2 linked regions of the Lonchura striata genome follow. Each later gene encodes a partner of the first gene's protein in a complex. Links are inferred from orthologs where the notes say so. Each region holds a gene or a part of one and is shown in the gene's direction. Other genes may lie near its edges.

Region 1 (10,034 bases):
CAGGAGAAGAACCCCACGATCCTTGATCAGGGTGTTCCATCATCCTGCTGAGGGGCTGGGATGCCGGAGAGAAGGGAATCCTGGACACAGCAGGTGAGTTTAGCAAGAGCAGAGATTTGGGGAGTCTCCAACTTTGGGATGTCGCACCCGAAATCCTGCCTGCCAATGCTTAGGGATGCATCTCCACAGGAATCTTTCAGGAATTCACAGCAGAGCAATGCAGGAATGTGCCACCGAGGCTGTACCCAGACCCTTCCCCCTCCGCCAGGCAGGATCCAGAGCCACCCCAAGGCAGAGGAACCCCCTTTTCCCCCCAGGAAGTGGCTGCACCCCGAGGGCTGGGCTGATTCTGGGCTCCCCTGGCTCTCCTGGGCACCCCAAAGCCTGGGGGGAGGCGCCTCCGGTGTGACGCAGCCCGAAACAGCTCCTGCTTTTGGGGCGCCCCAAATCCCAGCACCCACCTCGTCCTCCATGGAGCCCGGGACAGGGGGAGGGAGCCGTGCTGGGGGGCTGCAGAGCTGGGGGGCACCAGGGGACGGGGCACGCTCCCCTCCTTTCGGGGTGCTGCCGTCGGGGCCAGGAAGTGCCACGGTTTCCTCTGCCCCACGTGACGGGCGGAGCGGGGCAGGGACCCACGGCGGGGCACGAGCCCGTTCCCTGCTCCCACCCTGCACCCCGAAATCCCTGACAGCACCCCAACCCTCCATCCTGTGCCACAGCTGGGGGGGATGCACCCCAAAATCCCCAGCAATGCCCCAACCGGGGGGGAATGGCCCCGTGCCGAGGGAGGCTGAGCCCTGGTTTCTGTTCTGAGCTGCTCTGTTCCGACTCCCAGCTGCATCCCAGCTGCTGCTCCCGGAGCAATTCCCAATCCCAAAGGTCCCACAGCCCCCTGAGTGCGTGGGCTGTGCAGCTTCTTCCTGCCCAGAGCAGCTGGGGCTGCCCTGCATCCCTGGCAGTGCCCAAGGCCGGGCTGGGAGCTCCTGGGGCAGGAGAAGCTCCTCCACCAGCCCCATTCCCAATCTCCCAGCAGATCCATGATTCTCCTGCATCCCTGGCAGTGCCCAAGGCCGGGCTGGGAGCTCCTGGGGAGGGGAAGCTCCTCCACCAGCCCAATTCCCAATCTCCCAGCAGATCCACACTGCTCCTGCATCTTGGACGCTCCAAAATCCACTTCATCCCCCAGAGCAGAGGGGTCCCAGCCCTGCAGCAGCTCCAGGCCCTTGTGCTACTGGATCTGGGGCAGCTCTGCAGGTGGGGTCTCACCTGAGGGGCACAATCCCCATTTCCTGCTGCCCACGCTGGGGATCAGCCCGGACATGGGGCTGGAAATGTGGGATAACAAAGGAATTTCAAGAAGAATTTCCCCCAGGGATGTAACTCCGAGCTCAGCAGCTCCTTGTTTCAGGAGGGAAATGCTGGAGCAGCTGCTGGGAGAGGCAGGTGGCACCAGCCTCAGCTCTCCAGGGCCTCCCCGAGCTGGAAAAGCTGGGAATGTCACACTAAGAGCTGAACCTCAGGGAATTCCCTCAGGGAAACCCTGCAAGCTTGGGATCCCTGGCACGGCTTGTGGAGTCAGAGCAGCAGGGAGATCACTCCCAGAAAATTCTCCTTCCCCCACACTTCCTGGGGATAAGCAGGTGGGAGCACCCATCCATCCATGCTCCCCTGAGGCTCCAGGTGTGACACCAAGCCCTGCCAGATTCCCATGGCCTGCTGGAATTCCATCCTGCCTCCCAGGACTTGTGGGGAATGCTATTCCATCCCAGGACAGCTCCCTTCCCGCTGGGATAACCCCCACTGAGAGCCAGGGCACGCCAGCTCCTGAAGGAATTCCAGGGCTCCAGTTGAAACCAGGTTGGATTTTATCCAAGCTGGACTCGACCCCAAAGCCAGGCTGGGATTTTCCTCCTTATCCCAACCAACCCTGCCCTGATCCCTTTGGATCAGCCCTGAGGGAACTCAGTGCCTCCACTTCAGCTCAGAGTGCTGCTGGAACCATCCAGAGTGGGAGAAGCAGGGAGCAGAGCTCTCCCTGCAGCTGGAACACCTGAGGAAGACAAGGACAGGTCTGTGCTCCACAGGCAGCAGCTCCAAGGGTTGGTTAACCACCAAACTCCAAGGAAGCTCCACGAGGCCTTGGAGCAGCTCAGGAGAGGCCACAGGTGGGTGCCAGCTCAGTTCTGCTCCAGAGGCACCGGGAGCTCCTGCTCCAGCGGGATGGGACAGCCCCGGGACAGGGCCCGAGGAGGCTGCAGGGACCAGAGAAATGGGATTTTCCAGGTGGGATGGAGGGTGAGGAACCAGCCCAGTGTGTCCCTGGGGCAGGGAGGAGGGAGGATCCAGACTCTTCCCAGTGCCAGGAACCACAGCGGGGAGCCCCAGCTGAGCTCTGCCCAAACCCCCTGGAGCTGACTCCTTCCCAAAAGCAGCTCCATCCCGTGTGCAGGTGAGAAATTCCTCCAAATTCCTCCCAGAGTGGCATCACGGGGGTTTAATTCCCAGACCTGCCTGTCCGGGAAGCCTGGAGGGCGATTCCCCACAAAATCCCACTCAGCCTCACTCATTCTGGAACCTGCTGCCCCGGGGCTCCCAAAATCTCCAGTTTTTCCCCAAAAGGACGGGCTCACACCCAGCCTCGGCCTGCAGCTCTGGCTGAGCCTCCCCGAGGCCACAGAATGGAGCTGGGAGGAGGGAAACCAGGCCGGAGGTGCTGAGCCGCGAGCCACAACAACGGCATCAATTAACGCAGGAACGAATTCACTGAATCCGCAGCAGTAATAACGTAAATAAATTAGCAAACCCATAAATTAATCCCTCCGTAATTAATACTCCCATCGATTAATAACAACCTTCTCCAAGCCCTCGGGAACAGCGGGACGCTCTGGGCTGGGGGCTCTGGGTGGCTCCCGGGAAGGGGATGCGGGAACGGTCCCGGGAAGGGGATGCGGGAACGGTCCCGGGAAAGGGATGCGGGAACAGTCCCGGGAAGGGGATGCGGGAACGGTCCCGGGAAGGGGCAGCCAGTGGCTCCCGGGAAGGCGCTCTGGAACAGCCCCGGGAGGGGATCGGGCACCGCCGGGGAGTTCCGGGCTGGGGCCGGGGGCGGACCCGCCTGGGCTGAGCCACCCTCGGGGGGCACAGCGCGGACCCGGCCGCCCCCCGGGCCCCGCTCTCACCTTCTTGCCCTTCTTGCCCTCCTCCTCCATGGCTCCGGCGGCGGCCCGGGGCCCCCCCGGGGCATCCCGGCCCGGCTGAGGGGCGGGGCCTCAACGCGCGGCGGCGGAGGCGGCCATGGCGCGCCCGGTTCCCGCTCCAGCCCCGCCTCCAGATCCCGATCGCGGTCCCGGTTTCCCCTCCCGGTCCCGGCGCCGCCTCAGCGCCCGCGGCTCTGCCCCGCCGCCATCTTGGGCGGCGCCTTCCCGTGACGTCATCGTCCCGCCGCCGGGGGGAGACGAGCGCAGTGCGCCTGCGCAAAGCCGTCGGCGCGCGCAAACCACGCCCACCACTGATTGGTCACGCCTACTAGCCACGCCCATTATGATGTCATCGCATATCACACGCTGCATTAGACCACGCCCCTCGCTGGACCCGCCCACCCGCTCCTCTATGACGTCATCGGGAGGCGCCCGCTCTTTCAGTCATGGCCGCTGCCGCCGCCGGTGAGGGGTATGGCGGTCTGCGCTCATCCGCCGCCATCCGCGGCCGCCACCGCTGCCTCCCGAGCTCCCCGCGCATCGGGCCCCGCCGCGGTGCGTTCCGGGCCGGGCTGTCCCGGGGAACCGAGGCTGACCCGGGAGCAGATTCCCGCCGCAGGCTCCAGCATGGCGGGGCCTGTCGTGGCCCCTGCCATTCCTGCAGTGCTGCCAGAGCATCCCGGGGCCGTTTGAGGCCGCTCCCGGCGCCTCCCGGGGGCGGTTATAGAAACCTCGGACACGGCCGGGCTGGGGAGGAGCTCGGTGGGACACGGGGGGCTGCGGGGTCCCGAAAGCCCCGGCACGGCGGGGCCGGTGACATTGCTGCTGTTCTCCGTTCCAGGCTCCTGCTGCGCGGATCCAGAGGGACTCAGGAAGCCGCCAGGAAGAAAGAAGTGCATTCAAGGGGGCTGGCACCGTAATTAGCCCGGTTTCGGTTAATTAAGGCTACCGAGGCCTCGACCCTCGTCTCCCAGGGGTGAAGTTCCATGGGAATGCCGTGACTGAGACACGGTGGCAGGAGTTGCCTGTCGGCAGCACTGCCCAGGTGAGGGCCAGCCCCGGCTCTGCCCGGGGGGAGGCTGCGGGACTGGGACTCCGTGGGAATGTCGGGGGCCACGTTCCTGGAGCTACCCGGGGCTCTGGCACAGCCCGGGCTCTGCCGTGCCCGGTTCCCCTGGCTCCTGCCGCCGCGGGCTCCAGCATAGCGGGGCCTGCCGTGGCCCCTGCCATTCCTGCAGCGCTGCCAGAGCGTCCCGGGGCCGTTTGAGGCCGCTCCCGGTGTCTCCCGGGGGCGGTTATAAAAACCTCGGACACGGGACCCCAAGCCCACTGGGATTTGGGGACAGGGGCAGCAGGGCCAGGGCCATTCCTCATTCCTGCCTTTCCCATTGCAGGCTCCCTCCGTGGGCATCCAGAGGGCTCCGGGAAGGCTGCAGGAAGGAGAAGGTGGGCACAAGGCTCTTGTCAGTGTAATTAACTCTGTGGTGGTTAATGAGCGCTGGCAACACGAGCTGTGTGCTGCTGTCACTGCCTGGTGTGTGCCAGTGTCACTGCCTGGTGTCACTGCCAGCTGTGTGCCCCTGTCACTGCTAGCTGTGTTGCTTTATCCCACAGGGACCTGTCCAGAGGCGTGGAAGGAGAGGCCAGGCTGGTGTGGCAGATTCCCCTTGGCAGAACAAGGAGGATTCGGCGGCGCCACAATCGAGGAATTAAACCCATTTAATTGACCCATAATTAAACCCATAATTGAACCTGTGGGTTTAACGTGCTTTGGTTCCACAGCTTCTTTATTTCCTGTTTCTGGTCCAAAGGGATGGAAATGGGGATTCGGGGGAGGAAGCTGCTCCAGGTGCTGGAGCAGAGATTCCCCAGGGGAGCAGGAGCCCCCCGTGTCCCCAGGGTCACCTGGGCTGGCTATCCCCTTGTGCCAGGCTCAGATGGCCCCATTTCCCCCAACCCCAGTGTCCCCAGTGCCCAGGGTCCCCAAATCCTGATGTCCCTTGTCCCTGAGCTCACGTCCCGTGTCCAGTGCCCGGTCCCTGGCTGGGTGGCAGCAGAGCCGGGACAGGGACACGCCGGGGGCTCAGCTCTGCTCCTGCTGGGATCCTGAAGCTGCTGAGGAGCTGCTCCTCTACCAGAATCCATCAAAGAGCTCCGCTAATGGCTCAAACAATTAGATGAGCGAATCAATTAACGGAGCAGATAGTTAGACCAGCAGGTTCAAGGGGCACAACGAGGTGTCCCTGGCACCACCGAAGCGTCCTGGAGCCCTGAATGCACTGCGGGACGCTGGCGGGGCGGGGAGGTGTGGAGAAGGCTAATTAACGGGGTGATTAATTAGCGGGGGGAGGCTGGGCGTGGCGGTTGCCGTGACAACCGCGCCGCTTCCGGGGCGGGGCCTGTCCGTGACAACGGCCGTGCCGTCCAATCAGCGACCGAGGCGTCGCCATGGCAACAGCGCTCGTCCCGCCCCGGTGGGCGTGGCCATGCGCTCCCCTTTGTGGGGGCGGGGCGTTGCCATGGGAACGGGGCCGGAAGTGCGGCCGCGCTCGGAGCCCCGCGGACTCGGTGTCCCGTGAGCCCCCGCGCGCGGTTCCGGCGGGCCGGGCCGGGCCGGGAGCGCACCGGGAGCGGGCCGGGCCGCGCCGCGCCGCGCCGGGATGGAGGCCGTGCCCCGCATGCCCATGATCTGGCTCGACCTCAAGGAGGCCGGCGAGTTCGCCTTCAACGCCGCCGTCAAGAAGGTGCGGCCGGGCAAGGCCCGGCGGGGCGGGCGCTGGGGGCTGGGAGGGGTCGGAAGCGGGCCCGGGGCACGGGGAGCGGGGCAGGCGGTGCCCGGGGGTCCCTGCAGCCACCGGCGCCGGAGCTTTGGATGGCGGACCCCCCCGCCCCGAGCCGCCGGGGGCTGGCGCCGTGTCCCTGCCGCCCCCGCGGGGCCTGGTTAATTAGTCACTTCATTAAGGGCTGTAGCAGGCTCCGGGCCCGCACAGTTTGCGGGTGCGGGGCGCTGCGGGGCTCCTGGCGCGCGTGCCGCTCCCCCCGCGGTTTTGCGGGGCGCCCGGGCGGCCCCGGGAGTGTCCCCGGCGTGCCGCACCTGGGCCGGGCACCTTCCCGGTGCCCGTAAGTGCCTTTTCCACCCTCGGCCGTTCCCGAGCCCGTTCCCGACCCAATCCCCGATGCCATTCCCCGATCCCATCCCTGATTCCTTGTGCCCATTCCCCGCTCCCGTTCCCCGATGCCATTTCTGATCCCGTTCCCCGTTCCCGATCCCATTCCCCGCTCCCGTTCCCCGAGCCCATGCCCGGAGCCATTCCCCACTCCCGTTCCCCGAGCCCATGCCCGGAGCCATTCCCCGCTCACATTCTCCACTTCCATCCCCTTCTATCCCATTCCCGGTGCCCGTTCCCCGCTCCCATTCCCGGTGCTCGTTCCCTGATGCCCATTCCCCGGTGCCCATCCCCTCGTATCCCGTTCCCCACTCCCTTTCCCGGTTCCCACTCCCCGCTCCCATTCCCACTCCGCGCTGCCGTTCACCGGTGCCGTTCCCTGCTCCCCTTCCCGGTGCCTGTTCCCCGGTGCCCATTCCCTCCTATCCCCTTCCGCGGTGCCTGTTCCCTGCTCCCGTTCCCGGTTCCCACTCCCCGCTCCCGTTCCCCTTTCCCGGTTCCCACTCCCCGCTCCCACTCCCGGGGTGCCCGTGGGTGCCATTCCGCCCCTCCTGCCCGGTGCCCCGGTGTCCCGCCGCTCCGGGAGCCGGTCCCGGCCGCTCAGCCTCTGCCGCCCCCAGTTCGTGCTGAAGAACTACGGGGAGAACCCGGAGAGCTACAACGAGGAGCTGCGGAAGCTGGAGCTGCTCCGGCAGGTGAGGGACGCTCTGGGCCGGGGCTGCTCCTCTTCCCCGGGCCCGGGGCCGCTCCTCTTCCCCGGGGCTGGGGCCGCTCCTCTCCCCCGGGGCCGCTCCTCTCTCTCCCCGTCCTTGCATCATCCCCGGAGCAGCCCTTGGGTGGTCCCAGAGACCCGGGAGCTGCTGGGGGGGCAGGGACAGCTCCTGCTGCCGGCCACAGGCTCCCCAAACCCGGGGGGCCCAGCCACCCCCAGCCCGGCTCTGGGGTTTCTCCTCTCACCGTGTCCCAGGACACCCAAATCCCGTGGCTGTCCCGGCCCGGGGAGCTGTGCTGGGGGTGCAGAGCCTCATTTTGCTGCCCCGCTGCCCCCATCCATGAGGGAGCTCGTTTTTGGGAGAACTCGGCTGTTCCCGAGGCTTTCCCAGAGCCCTGCCCCATCCCGAGCGTGCGGCTGGCTCCGGCCTCCCCTGCGGGACAGCTGCTGGTCCTGCCTGGAGCAGGCAGTGCCCTGAGCCTCTTCCTCCTCTCCCTCCTCCTCCTCCTCCCCCCGGTCCCTTCCCAGAGCGCCGTCAGCGTTCCCAGGGACTTCGAGGGCTGCAGCACCCTGCGCAAGTACCTGGGGCAGCTGCACTTCCTGCAGAGCCGCATCCCCATGGGCCAGGGCCAGGACGCGGCCGTGCCCGTCACCTGGTGAGGGGGTCGGGTGGGGGAATTGGGGTGGGGGAGTTGGGACATGGGGGGCTGGGATGGGGGGCTGAGCCAGGCAGGATGTGGCCATGCCCACCCCTTGGGGAGAAGCTGCTCAAGGAACCCCCTGGGAATGTGGTCCTGGCCAGGGTGGCACTGGGGGATCCCAGGAGTCCTTTGGGGGATGACAGTGTCCTGCCTGGGGTGGCACAGGGGTGGCCCTGTGCTGTCCTGGGGAACGGGGTCGTGCCTGGGGTGGCACTGGAGGATCCCAGGGACCTTTGGGGAACGGGGTCCTGGGGATGGGGATCTCAGGAACCCCTGGGGAAGGGGGATCCCAGTAACTCCTGCTCTCGGGAGAAGCCCTGCTTGCTCCCTGTGCTGTGCCCCTGCCCCCAGGACTGAGATCTTCTCGGGCAAGGCGGTGACGCACGAGGACATCAAGTACGAGCAGGCCTGTGTCCTCTACAACCTGGGTGAGCCCCCCAAATTCCCGCAGCTCGGGGGCTGCCTGGCCCGGGCCCCCGCTCCCAGGGGTGTCCCTGCCCCGCTGAGCCCCCCGTCCCCACAGGAGCTCTGCACTCCATGCTGGGAGCCATGGACAAGCGCGTGTCCGAGGAGGTAACGCCCGCGGCACCGGGCAGTGCCAGCTGGGAGTGACAGGGCTGGGCTGGGCAGGGCTGGGAGGGGCTGGGCACCAGCAGAACCTGGGATCTCTGGGCTTTGGGGTGTCTGGAGCACCAGGAGGGACCCTGGGGACAGGAGGGGACAGCCAGAGGGTGGGGCTCTGCTCCCGGGTGACAGGACAAGAGGGAAACAGCCTCAAGGGCAGGTTCAGGTGGGATATTGGGAATGTTCCTCTTGGAAAAGGCTCTCCTACCCTGGCCCAGCTGCGAGGGCAGGGCTGGAGTCCCCATGGCTGGAGGGATTTCAAAGCCCTGTGCATGTGACACTTGGGGACACGGTCAGGGATGGCCTTGGCAGTGCTGGGGGCTGGGTGGACTCCATGGTTTGGGAAATCATCTCCAAACCCAACAATTCCATCCCCTCAGGGCATGAAGGTTTCCTGCACCCACTTCCAGTGTGCTGCTGGTGCCTTCACCTACCTGCGGGATCACTTCCCACACTCCTACAGCGTGGACATGAGCCACCAGATCCTCAGCCTCAACATCAACCTCATGCTGGTACGGGCTGGGCACTGCTGCCACTGGCACCCCTCCAGGTCTCCGTGGCCTTGGTGCTCCCCGAGGATCCACGGGCACAGGACCCCGCTGTCCCCCAGGGGTTCTCTGGGGGTCTGGGCTCTCCCCTGGGGTGTGGGGAAGGAGGTTTTGGGAGGCACTGGGGGGTCAGGGAAGGCTCAGTGCCATTCCTGGGCTCTCCAGGCACCCTCAGGGCTGGTATTCCCTGTGCCACATCCATCCCCTGGGAAAGGGGCTGGAGCCAGTGGGTCCTGCCAGGGGTCTGGGCTGTCCCAAGGGCTGGGGACACTGAGCATTGCTCTCTTGTCCCTGGCAGGGCCAGGCACAGGAGTGTCTCCTGGAGAAGTCCATGCTGGACAACAGGAAAAGCTTCCTCGTGGCCAGGATCAGTGCCCAGGTGAGCTCCAGGAGCTGCTCCCAGCACGGCCCTGCTCCCACTGGGATCAGGAGCTGGAGAGGGACTCTGGGCAAGGCCTGGAGCGACAGCACCCAGGGAATGGGAGATGTGGGCGAGTGTTGGGAAGGAATTCTTGCCTGTGAGGTGGGTGAGGCACTGGAATGGATTGGGATGGGCTGCCCCTGGGTCCCTGGCAGTGCCCAAGGCCAGGCTGGACGGGGCTTGGGGCAGCCTGGGCTGGTGACAGTCCCTGGCTGAGGTCCCAAGCACATCCCTGAGCTCCCCCCACCATTGCTCCGGGTGATCCGAGTCCTTGGGCTGGTGCTGCCCAGGGTGCCCAGGCTTCTCCCGTGCCCTCCCCCCAGGTGGTGGATTACTACAAGGAGGCCTGCCGGGCCCTGGAGAACTCGGAGACGGCCTCGCTGCTGGGCAAGATCCAGAAGGACTGGAAGAAACTGGTTCAAATGAAAATCTATTATTTTGCTGCCGTGGCCCACGTGAGTGAGGGGGAGCTGGGGCTGGGGGGCTCTGCCTGTGCTCCCATCCCACCCCGGGATGCTCCTGGCTGCTCCCTGGGGTTTTCCTGCCCCTCTCTCAAAGCTCTCCCTGGAGTTACAGAGCTCTGATCCCAGTTTTCTTCCAGCTGCACATGGGGAAACAGGCCGAGGAGCAGCAGAAGTTTGGGGAAAGGGTAAGTGGGGCCGTG
Region 2 (9,335 bases), on another chromosome or scaffold:
CCAAGCCCAAAACACCCAGGCACTGCTCTCACAAACTCTCACAACCACAGTGGATCTCAGAAATACTGTGAAGTTTGTGATGCTTGTAATGCCATCATTTTTGCTGGTAGAAAAAAAAAAGTGATTATATCTACTCAGCTTTACTAGTTAAAAAAAAGAAAATTGCATTCTTTTCCCTTCTCCCCGTATTTTTTATATGAAAAAAGAGAACATGCCCTAAGGGTGTGTCCCCCATGAATGTGCACACTGTGCACGTGGACTGGCACTGAACCTTCCCTTCCTTCCTGGCAGTGCCTTCCACCCCTCCCTCGTTGGCATCAGCACCCACAGCCCGCTCACTCAGCTAGGGCAGCAGGCTGATCTTGCTAGAAATACCTATTTATCTCTCACTTAAATCAGTGACGTGAATTCCAGGCTCCTATTTTTTTTCTATTAAGTGAAATTGTGCAGATTTAGGATTTCTCTTCTAATCTGTATTTGACTCTGCAAATGTGGTAGCCATCCTTGTGGTCCTGCTGCAGAACTTCCAGCTGACCAGCCGGTTTTGAAAATAGGTGCTGGCCTGTCCCTTATGATCCCTGATATGGATTGCAATCTCTTGCTCCTTTTTCTCCAGGCCTGGCTGGAGGAGACATTATTTTTCTCCTTGAGCTCTTGTACATATGCAAAGATAAATAAACTCAGAGATTATTGTGTAGGTGGCTGGGGGTGTGAACATGTGCAGACAATGAAGAGCAAGGACTTCAATACACATTTCAAAATGCATTTCTTTACATGCCAGGAAAACCCTTTGGTTCCTGCTGCTTCCTTGATTATATTTACTTGCAAGCTGTCTGCGTCTTAATATTCCTTTCAAATCTGTTTTGCTTCCAAAGCAGCTAACGCGCTTTAAATTTCCCCTGACTGAACCCCAGGTGGAGGATGTGAAGAAGAGCAGGGAAGAGGCATATCTGGTGGCGGACGCCTTCCGGACGGCGTTTGAGCAGCAGCTGGGGCAGAGGCAGGAGCAGGCCCTGCGGCTGGCAGAGGCGCTCGGCGTGAAGAAGGGAACCAGATCTGGCAGCTGGCGGCGGCAGGGCGCTGGTAGCTGGGCAGTGCCTGGGGCTGGCTGGTCTGGACACGTGCTGGGGGCTCAGCTGCTGCCCGGGCTGGTTTAAGGGCTGCCAGCAACTGCTCTGTCTTTTGGGTTTTGTTTTTTGTCAAATTAGTTCTGCAGAAGAGGTGGGGAAGGCGAAGAAATGCAAAAAAAATTTATAGCTTGAGGTTTTTTTAGCTCCAAGTGGGGCTTGAGCAGCCTGGTCTGGTGGAAGGTATGGAGCAAGATGAGCTTCAAGGTCTCTTCCAAGCCAGGCCACTCCATAATTCACTGGAGTACTAAACAGTTGTGGTTTTTTTTTTCTTAAACCCCTTTATCTTTTTATTATGCATGTGTATTGATATTTCTGTTTATTAGTGTTCTTACACTAATGCAGAGTTACAAAGCCCTGTGTAAAAAGAGGAAGATTTCCAATCTGTAAAGTAGGAGTAATTCTAACAATCTTCTATTATTAAAAAAAAAAATAGAGGGATAATGAGAGGTATTTGAGTGCTTACATCATGGTCAGAACCACTGCAGGCTTTAGGAATGGCACAATATATTTGTTTTGACCATTGGCAGGAGCTTAGAAGTGTGATATGTGTCTCCCAAATTCCTGGGGCACTCCTGGGGTGTAGCTCTACAACAGCACAACCTTGAGTGTCTGTTTCCCCTGTACTGGCCCCATTGCTTTCAGGCTCCATTACCTGGCACATCTGTTCCGTAATTTTAATGTATTTTACCATTCCTGGAAATCTTACAGACTTCTATGTGGCCAGTGTCAGAGAATCTTTGGGGTTTTTTTTCAGCTACTTAGTGTTTAAAAACAAATTAATTTTACCATTCCTGGAAATCTTACACACTTGTAGGTTGCCAGTGTCAGAGAATCTTTGGGTTTTTAAGGCTACTTAGTGTTTAAAAACAACCTGCTGTGAATTTTACCATTCCTGGAAATCTTACACACTTGTAGGTTGCCAGTGTCAGAGAATCTTTGGGTTTTTAAGGCTACTTAGTGTTTAAAAACGAACTACCGTGAATGATTGTTTACCTAGAGCGTGAAAAGTGTGTTTTTCACGGAGCAAATTCTCAATTTGCCCCCGTGCGAGGTCTGCGCAGCGGGAGCAGGGAGACGTGCCGAGCTGCGTCTGGTGTTGCCCTTTTCTCTGTGACTGCTCAGCTCCAGTTGAGCAGTGCTGCTCTATCCTGAAGCGGTTTCCCCTCCCGGAGCAGCTGTGCTGACGCGGTTGTGTTTTCCGCAGAGGGCGGCGAGCCCAGCCTGGGCCGGCGGCTGTCCGGCCTGCTGCGGTCAGCCGGGGACGGCAGGAGGGTGCGGGAGCTGGACGACGCCCAGGAGCTGCTGCGGGTGCTGATAGACCTGGTCAGTGCACGGCTCTCCCTGCGGCGCGGCGCGGCCGCGGCGCGCTGGCGCTGAGCGCTCTGCTCTCCGCTGGCAGGTGAACGACAAGGAGGAGGCCCTGGCGCACCAGCGCAAGGTCAGCTACATGCTGGCGCGGGCGGCGGAGCCCGGCCAGGCCGGGCCAGGCTGGCGTTGGCTCGCGACCCCCAGCCCTGCCCGCCCGGCTCGGGCGGGAGCGGCCGCGGGGCCGCCGAGGCCACGGTCCTGGCCCTCTGCGCTCCGCTGAGGAACGGCGCCACGGCCACGTGGAAAAGAATGTTCTGGAAATACCAGGAGTGGCCATGGGGCCGCCGAGGCCACGGTCCTGGCCCTCCGCGCTCAGCTGAGGAACGGCGCCACGGCCACGTGGAAAAGAATGTTCTGGAAACGCCCTCTGCGCTCGGCTGAGGGACGGCACCATGGCCACGTGGAAAAGAATGTTCTGGAAACACCAGGAGTGGCCATGGGGCCGCCGAGGCCACGGTCCTGGCCCTCTGCGCTCGGCTGAGGGACGGCGCCACGGCCATGGGGAAAAGAACGTTCTGGAAACGCCCTCCACGCTCGGCTGAGGGACGGCGCCATGGCCATGTGGAACAGAACGTTCTGGAAACACCGGGAGTGGCTGTGGGGCCGCCGAGGCCATGGTCCCGGCTCTCCGCACTCGGCTGAGGGACGGCACCACGGCCATGTGGAAAAGAACGTTCTGGAAATACCGGGAGCAGCCGCGGGACTGCCGAGGCCATGGTCCTGGCTCTCGGCTGAGGGACGGTGCCACGGCCATGTGGAAAAGAACGTTCTGGAAACACCGGGAGCGGCCGCAGGGCCGCCGAGGCCATGGTCCTGGCTCTCGGCTGAGGGACGGTGCCACGGCCATGTGGAAAAGAACGTTCTGGAAACACCAGGAGTGGCTGCGAGGCCACCGAGGCCATGGTCCTGGCTCTCGGCTGAGGGACGGTGCCACGGCCATGTGGAAAAGAATGTTCTGGAAACACCGGGAGCTGTGTGTGCTGTGGTGGTGTCACTGCGGGGATGATGGCGCAGCGTGGGCACAGGGGCGGGAGTGGCTGTTTCAGCGGCACCACTGGGAGCATGTGTGGGCTGCGCTGGCAGTCCCTGAGGGAGTGGCGGTGACGTCACTGCATGGGGTGACATCACTGCAATGGTATGATGTCACTGCAGGGGTCTGATGTCACTGCAGGGGCGTGATGTCACCAGAACAAGGACAGACAGGTCTGCACAGGCAGGGCTGGTGCCAGTGACGTCTTGCTGTGGAGGGTGTGATGTCACCGGAATGAGCAGGGCCTGGGTGGGGCTGGTGGCACTGCAGTGACATCACTGTGGAGGGTGTGACATCACTGTTGGGGGTGTGACATCACTGTGGGGAGTGTGATATCACTGTGGGTGTGTGACATCTCTGTAGGGGGTGTGACATCACTGTGGGGGTGTGACATCACTGTAGGGGATGTGACATCACTGTGGAGGGTGTGACATCACTGTGGGGAGTGTGACATCACTGTGGGGGTGTGACATCACTGTTGGGGGTGTGACATCACTGTGGAGGGTGTGACATCACTGTGGGGGTGTGACATCACTGTGGAGGGTGTGACATCACTGTGGGGAGTGTGACATCACTGTGGGGGTGTGACATCACTGTAGGGGATGTGACATCACTGTGGAGGGTGTGACATCACTGTGGGGGTGTGACATCTCTGTAGGCGATGTGACATCACTGTGGAGGGTGTGACATCACTGTGGGTGTGTGACATCTCTGTAGGCGATGTGACATCACTGTGGAGGGTGTGACATCACTGTGGGGAGTGTGATGTCACCAGAACAGGCAGGGAGCAGGGCCTGGGTGGGGCTGATGGCGCTTCAGTGATGTCACTGTGGAGGGTGTGACGTCACGGTAGGAGTTGTGACGTCACTGGAACGGGCAGGGAGCAGGGCTGATGGCGCGGCAGTGACGTCACCGCGGCGCGGAGGGTCTGACGCCACGAGACCCAGGCGGGAGCGGCGCCCCCTGGCGGGGGTTACGGGACAAGGTGGGGGGCGTGACCTACACGAGAGGCCCCGCCCCTTTCCCCCAGGCCCCGCCCCGGTGGGGGTCAGGCCAGTCGGCGATCCGCCCTCATGCACTGTCAATCACGGACGCGACCACGCCCATGTAGCAATACCACGCCCCCTCACGCTGTCCGTCTGGCGTTTGGCCCCGCCCCTTCCTTGGGGCCGTGGCGGGGCGCGCAGGCGCGGGCGGGGCCGCGCAGGCGCGGGGTGGGGCGGGCGCGGCCGCGCAGGCGCGTTGCGCGCAGACGAGGGCCGAGGCCGCCGCCCGGAGCCGCCGGCGGGGCCGGGACTGGGAGCGGGACTGGGAGCGGGGCGGGCCCTGAGGGGATTCGGCCCCGAGACGGCCCCGAGCCCGCCGGGTGAGGTCGGGGCGACGCGGCTGTGCGAGTCTGACCTCTGCCTGAGGGCACCTGGGTGGGTGGTTCGCCCCCGGAGGTTTCTGCGTGTTGGTGGTGGTGTTGCTTGCTGCGGTTCCGCTTGTTTCTATATACGGCGTATCGAGCATGGGATATGTACAGAGAGCGCTGTGTGGGGTATGTGGAGAGTGTATGTGGTGTATAAAGTAAAGTAGACGAGGTTATTTGGCAGGTTGTGCAGAATACATATATGGCACATAGAGCGGACAGTGGTGCACCGCACACTTAGAGAGTGTAAAGCACTTTGAGTCTGTGTTTAAATCCGAGCAGAACCGGTCACTGGCAGCCTGTGGGCAGTGCGGCAGAGGGTCCAGCCGGCCGCCAGCGCCGGTGCTGCCGGTGCCGGGTGGCGAGAGGCGAAGCCGGGCTGGTGAATAACGCAGACCGCGGGGAATGGGGTGCGGAGCGAGCAGCGCTCCCCTGCCTGCCGCGGTCCCTTCTGCAGAGCTTTCTGTGCCCGCATGACAGCCCCTGCCTGCTGCGAGTCAGGGCCGCTCTGCCTCCCAGTGCCGCCTCCAGGCTGGCTCACAGCAGGAGAAAGAGAACAATCTGCTGGAGGGGCCCAGGGAGGCACAGGGAGGATTCGGGCTCTGCAGCATCTCTGTGCCGGGCTCGGCCCGGGCGGGCTGGAGCAGGGAGCCGAGGGGGGATCCCGTCCGTCCGTCCCACCCCTCCCAGGCTCCCTGGGACAGTGCCAGGGAGGGCTGCGGGGTCCCTGTGTGGGACATCCCAGCCCAGCTGGACACGTCCCCGAGCCCCTGCCCAGGGGAGCAGCTCCAGAGGAGCCTTCCAGCGCTGCAGTAATTGAGGCAGTCCGCGATTCTCTGGGTGCTGTGAGCAGTGCTGCTCCCAGCTCAGAGGAGCAGGGTGGATGAATGAACAGAAATCCTCAGAAGCTGAAGGCGATGTGGGATGGAGCTGTGCGGGTGTAATGTCATCACGCTGCTGGTGGAGTTCTGCCCTTCTGAAGAGTCCATGTTTCACTCACAGAATAGCATTCCTCAGACAAGACAGCTTGTTGTGCTCTATCCTGTAAGCTTGTCCTTATATATCTGAAAACTTCAACAGCTTTTGGTTCACCCCATGGTTCAGCTCCTAAACCTGCTGTGGCAGCAGCCACCTCAGCTTTTGGTTTACACAGTAAGTTGTTCTGCTCAGCAAGAATCATTCTTGTTTTTATTTAAATTTTTCACACACTGTTTGTGCAGTTGTGCTGAACTTCATCAGGTTGATTGCTGATGGGCTCTGTGGTCAGCTGTTCCCTAAAACTTTTTGTCATTAGGGCTTCAGGCCTGTGTGTGGGTTCATGGGTGTTAGGGAGGGGGCTGAGAAGGAAAAAGCTGGTAATGAATTCCTTCAGTACCCTTGATGCTTTTTCCTTGGTCTTAGAATTGTTAGACATGGGTAAGGGATAAAAAGGTTTTTATTTTGGTATTTAATTAGGATTTTTATGGTGTAACAATTTGTCACATTGGGCTGTACCAAAATGCAAACTGTAAAATTTGCATGTACCAAAATGCATACATATGGTAGATGGTGTATACAGTTTTATAGGTTTTGTAAACTAGTATATTTAACAAAGACATTTCAATGAGAGGTTTAAATAAATAGTGTGATTATTTTAATGTATTTTTTCTTAGATGGGCGTAACAAGTGTTTTGGAGGGGTTTCTCAAGATAATGTTAGGTTTTCTGGCTTCTGACTGTGAGGCTTTTAGAAGTTTGGTCTTTTGGCTTAATAGAATACCAGGATTATGTTAAGGTATTAGGCTTAAGGAATTACAGTTATATTAAGGATACTGAGACCTCATAAAAGGTATATAAAAAGAAAAGACAAAAATCATCATGGCAACACCCATGTGCAACACCAGTGAGGGAGAGGGGGCACACAGCAGTCCATGAGTGTTTCACTGTGAGCTTGGTGCTTAGTGCCCATGTTTATATTGGAGATTTTGTTCTGCCTGCGGTGGTTGCTGGGGTGGTAAGGTGGAAAATGCCATTTCCATGCTTCCACAGTCCTTAGCTCAGCTTTCTGCTCAGGCTAAGCATAATAATTAAACACTGTGGTGGAGCTGGACATAGCCAGCGAGCCAAGGGACTGCAGCTGTGGTAGTCAGAACTGAGGTGGTGGCCATCCTGTGGTCACCTCTCTGGAGGGGAGACCCCTGTGCCCCTGCTTGTGTGTTCCTTTGCCTCTAAAGCCCAGCTTGGGCTCTTCTGGTATGTTTTGTGTAGAAGCAGGCCTGGCCTCTGCAATGGGGATTAGCTGCAGCAAACTGTGGGTGTGGTGGTGCCCATATGTGTGAACACTAGAGAGTGGTTTTCAGGTGTTCTCAGACATCAAAAGGTAGCTTGTCTTCAGACCTGCAATGGGTTGGTTGGTAATAATTAACCTATCCATTCTGTTTTGCAAGTTACCACCACTGAGAGCTGTGAAGTGCCTCCTTTTACAGAGTGTATCTGGGAAAAAGCCCTGCAATCCATCCTGTAAGTTGGCCACCCCCAGCAGCCTCGTGTTATCTCCTCCTTGAACTAAGAGTGTGCAGAGAAATCCCCAGTGCATGTTGGTTTTGGACTCTAGAATGTGTGTGCCTGTTCGGTTAGAAGGGATAAGTGATTTATGAAGGATTTTAAGGAAGTGTTGAGGTCTGTGACACATTTTTGAGCACCCTGTCACGCTTGCAGTCATCGAGATCTCAGGATTTGCATTCCACAGTTAATAGTTAACAGTTTTAATGAGGTGGAACTATTGCCTCTGTCTCTTAGGTCTGTGTGGTGCTGTGCTGGGAGTGTGTCAGACCATTTGTTGGAGATCTAAGATGAGCCTGTTTCGAGGTTTATCTGGAGAAGTGACATGTCCAGTGTGCACTTTTTTGTAGTACCTTTTGTGCTTAGATGATTATTTTCCCATTTTGAAGCAGACTGCTATTTTACCTTCAAGTCTCCTCCTACGTAAATATTTAATCTATCTTTATCTGAAAGCATATGGTCTTTAATAAACAGTGATTTAAATATAATTTTAAAGTTTTTTTGAACTATGAAATGGAGTGGTGAGAGCCTAAAATTTTATGTCTCCTTGCACTATTAGGGACTTATTGCCTCAGATAAAGTTATAAGCATATGTTTATTTTTAAAGAATACTAATCTGTGAGCCAGTTTAGAGTGTGTCTAGTGACTGTATTCAGAGCTCTAAAAGACAAATTCAGAAAACACAACTGTGCCTGGCTAAAAAACGTATACAGAGGTGGTGCTCCTGGTTTCTGATAGTTAGAATGCAGTGTAATTCTTCCGTTACAAGTATAAGCCTTAAAGGAATATGCTCAGAGCAAATGCATTTCGCTAAAGCACATGGTTCCTCCAGACCCTCCACTCAGGGAAGCAAGCAGCCATTTAATAAAAATGTGTCACCAGAGCTTTTTCATAGCTTCTAATCCAATAATGTAAACACTGCGACAGGCTGCAGGCAAATCCAGGCAGCAGAAAATAAAACTTGTTCCTCTTGCTGAAAGAGGATTTGAAACATGAGAAACTAGAAGGCTTTTACAATTTTTTGGTGATGCAGACACCAAAGTTGGGACAGGGGGGTACTGCTGCTCTGCCCTGTTTTGGGGGTTTTGATTTTGTTGTGGGTTTCAGATTTTTTTGCTTGTAGGTCTATTGTAGAAAGATGAAAAACCTATGAAAAGTTTGAGGAGAGTAATGAAATTAAGAAAAATACACATGCTAGTTTTTCAACGTTAGGTTAGTACTTTACGAAATCAAATAACCATTTTATTTAAAAAATAGATTTAACTAAACAAAGCAACATTGCTGGGTTGGTAGACTGAGGTATGATAGTTTGTTGAGCTCTCTGTAGAAGTGAGCTGATCTGTATTAAATAGATGTAAATATTGGCATATGGTTTTAGTTCTACAGTTCTTTTCATTGAGTTCTTCCTTTTTCTGGAGAGTTTAGTGGGCCAATGCTGTACAGCATCAATGCACCCTTCTAATTAGCATTATAAGCTAAAAATAGTGTTGTTGTCTAATAATGCCCTTATGCTTAAATGAGAAGTTGTTGTGTGACTCAAGTGTGCAACACTGTGAATATTCTCTAGGCCTTTTTAAGTAAAAGACAAAGGTAGATGAAATAATTACTGGCCTCCCGTCTGTATTTTTTTCAAATGGGGAAGGTTTTTGCTTTTTATAAGGTTCTGTTGTTTTTGATATCTGGTGAGGTTGTATAATAAATACCTACAGAGGACACAAACCAGCATTACGCATCCTCCGATGCCCGGTTTTCCTGTAACCCTTCAATATTTCTGGTTTATGTGGTCTATCTGACTATTGACTGCCCACAGATACGTGCTTGAGAGACGGGATCTGTACTTTGATGTCTCTCGGTGA

The links. Proteins that work in one complex are often made in the same cells at the same time.
Region 2: the proteins of PTPN23 (region 1) and ZFYVE16 are in contact, whole or in part, in a crystal structure (PDB 5MK0), measured with the Homo sapiens proteins. The link is inferred for Lonchura striata from reciprocal best matches to the Homo sapiens genes PTPN23 and ZFYVE16. Residues at the interface, in NP_056281.1 of Homo sapiens: Phe62, His125, Glu137, Glu138, Lys141, Val142, Cys144, Thr145, His146, Gln148, Cys149, Leu189, Lys192, Ser193, Asp196, Arg198, Lys199, Phe201, Leu202, Arg205, Ile206, Ala336, Leu338, Leu342, Asp348, Ala350, Val351; in NP_001098721.2 of Homo sapiens: Asp2, Tyr4, Phe5, Ala8, Val9, Leu12, Asp13, Leu15, Leu16, Asp17, Phe19, Glu20, Gln21.

The regions. Positions count from the first base shown.
Region 1 is NC_134603.1:156,656,730-156,666,763, reverse strand, and holds the start of PTPN23 (tyrosine-protein phosphatase non-receptor type 23), read left to right. Parts: upstream 1-5,805; 5' UTR 5,806-5,857; coding exon 5,858-5,941; intron 5,942-6,984; coding exon 6,985-7,059; intron 7,060-7,604; coding exon 7,605-7,732; intron 7,733-8,128; coding exon 8,129-8,205; intron 8,206-8,300; coding exon 8,301-8,350; intron 8,351-8,781; coding exon 8,782-8,913; intron 8,914-9,247; coding exon 9,248-9,328; intron 9,329-9,693; coding exon 9,694-9,825; intron 9,826-9,971; coding exon 9,972-10,019; intron 10,020-10,034. Other genes in the region: CCM2 (cerebral cavernous malformations 2 protein), read right to left, coding at 3,180-3,209. UniProt on the Homo sapiens protein: Plays a role in sorting of endocytic ubiquitinated cargos into multivesicular bodies (MVBs) via its interaction with the ESCRT-I complex (endosomal sorting complex required for transport I), and possibly also other ESCRT complexes.
Region 2 is NC_134642.1:86,166,762-86,176,096, reverse strand, and holds the start of ZFYVE16 (zinc finger FYVE domain-containing protein 16), read left to right. Parts: upstream 1-4,781; 5' UTR 4,782-4,894; exon of another isoform or gene 4,895-4,949; intron 4,950-6,015; exon of another isoform or gene 6,016-7,437; intron 7,438-9,335. Other genes in the region: CCDC125 (coiled-coil domain-containing protein 125), read left to right, coding at 915-1,083, 2,335-2,453, 2,530-2,623, 2,720-2,979.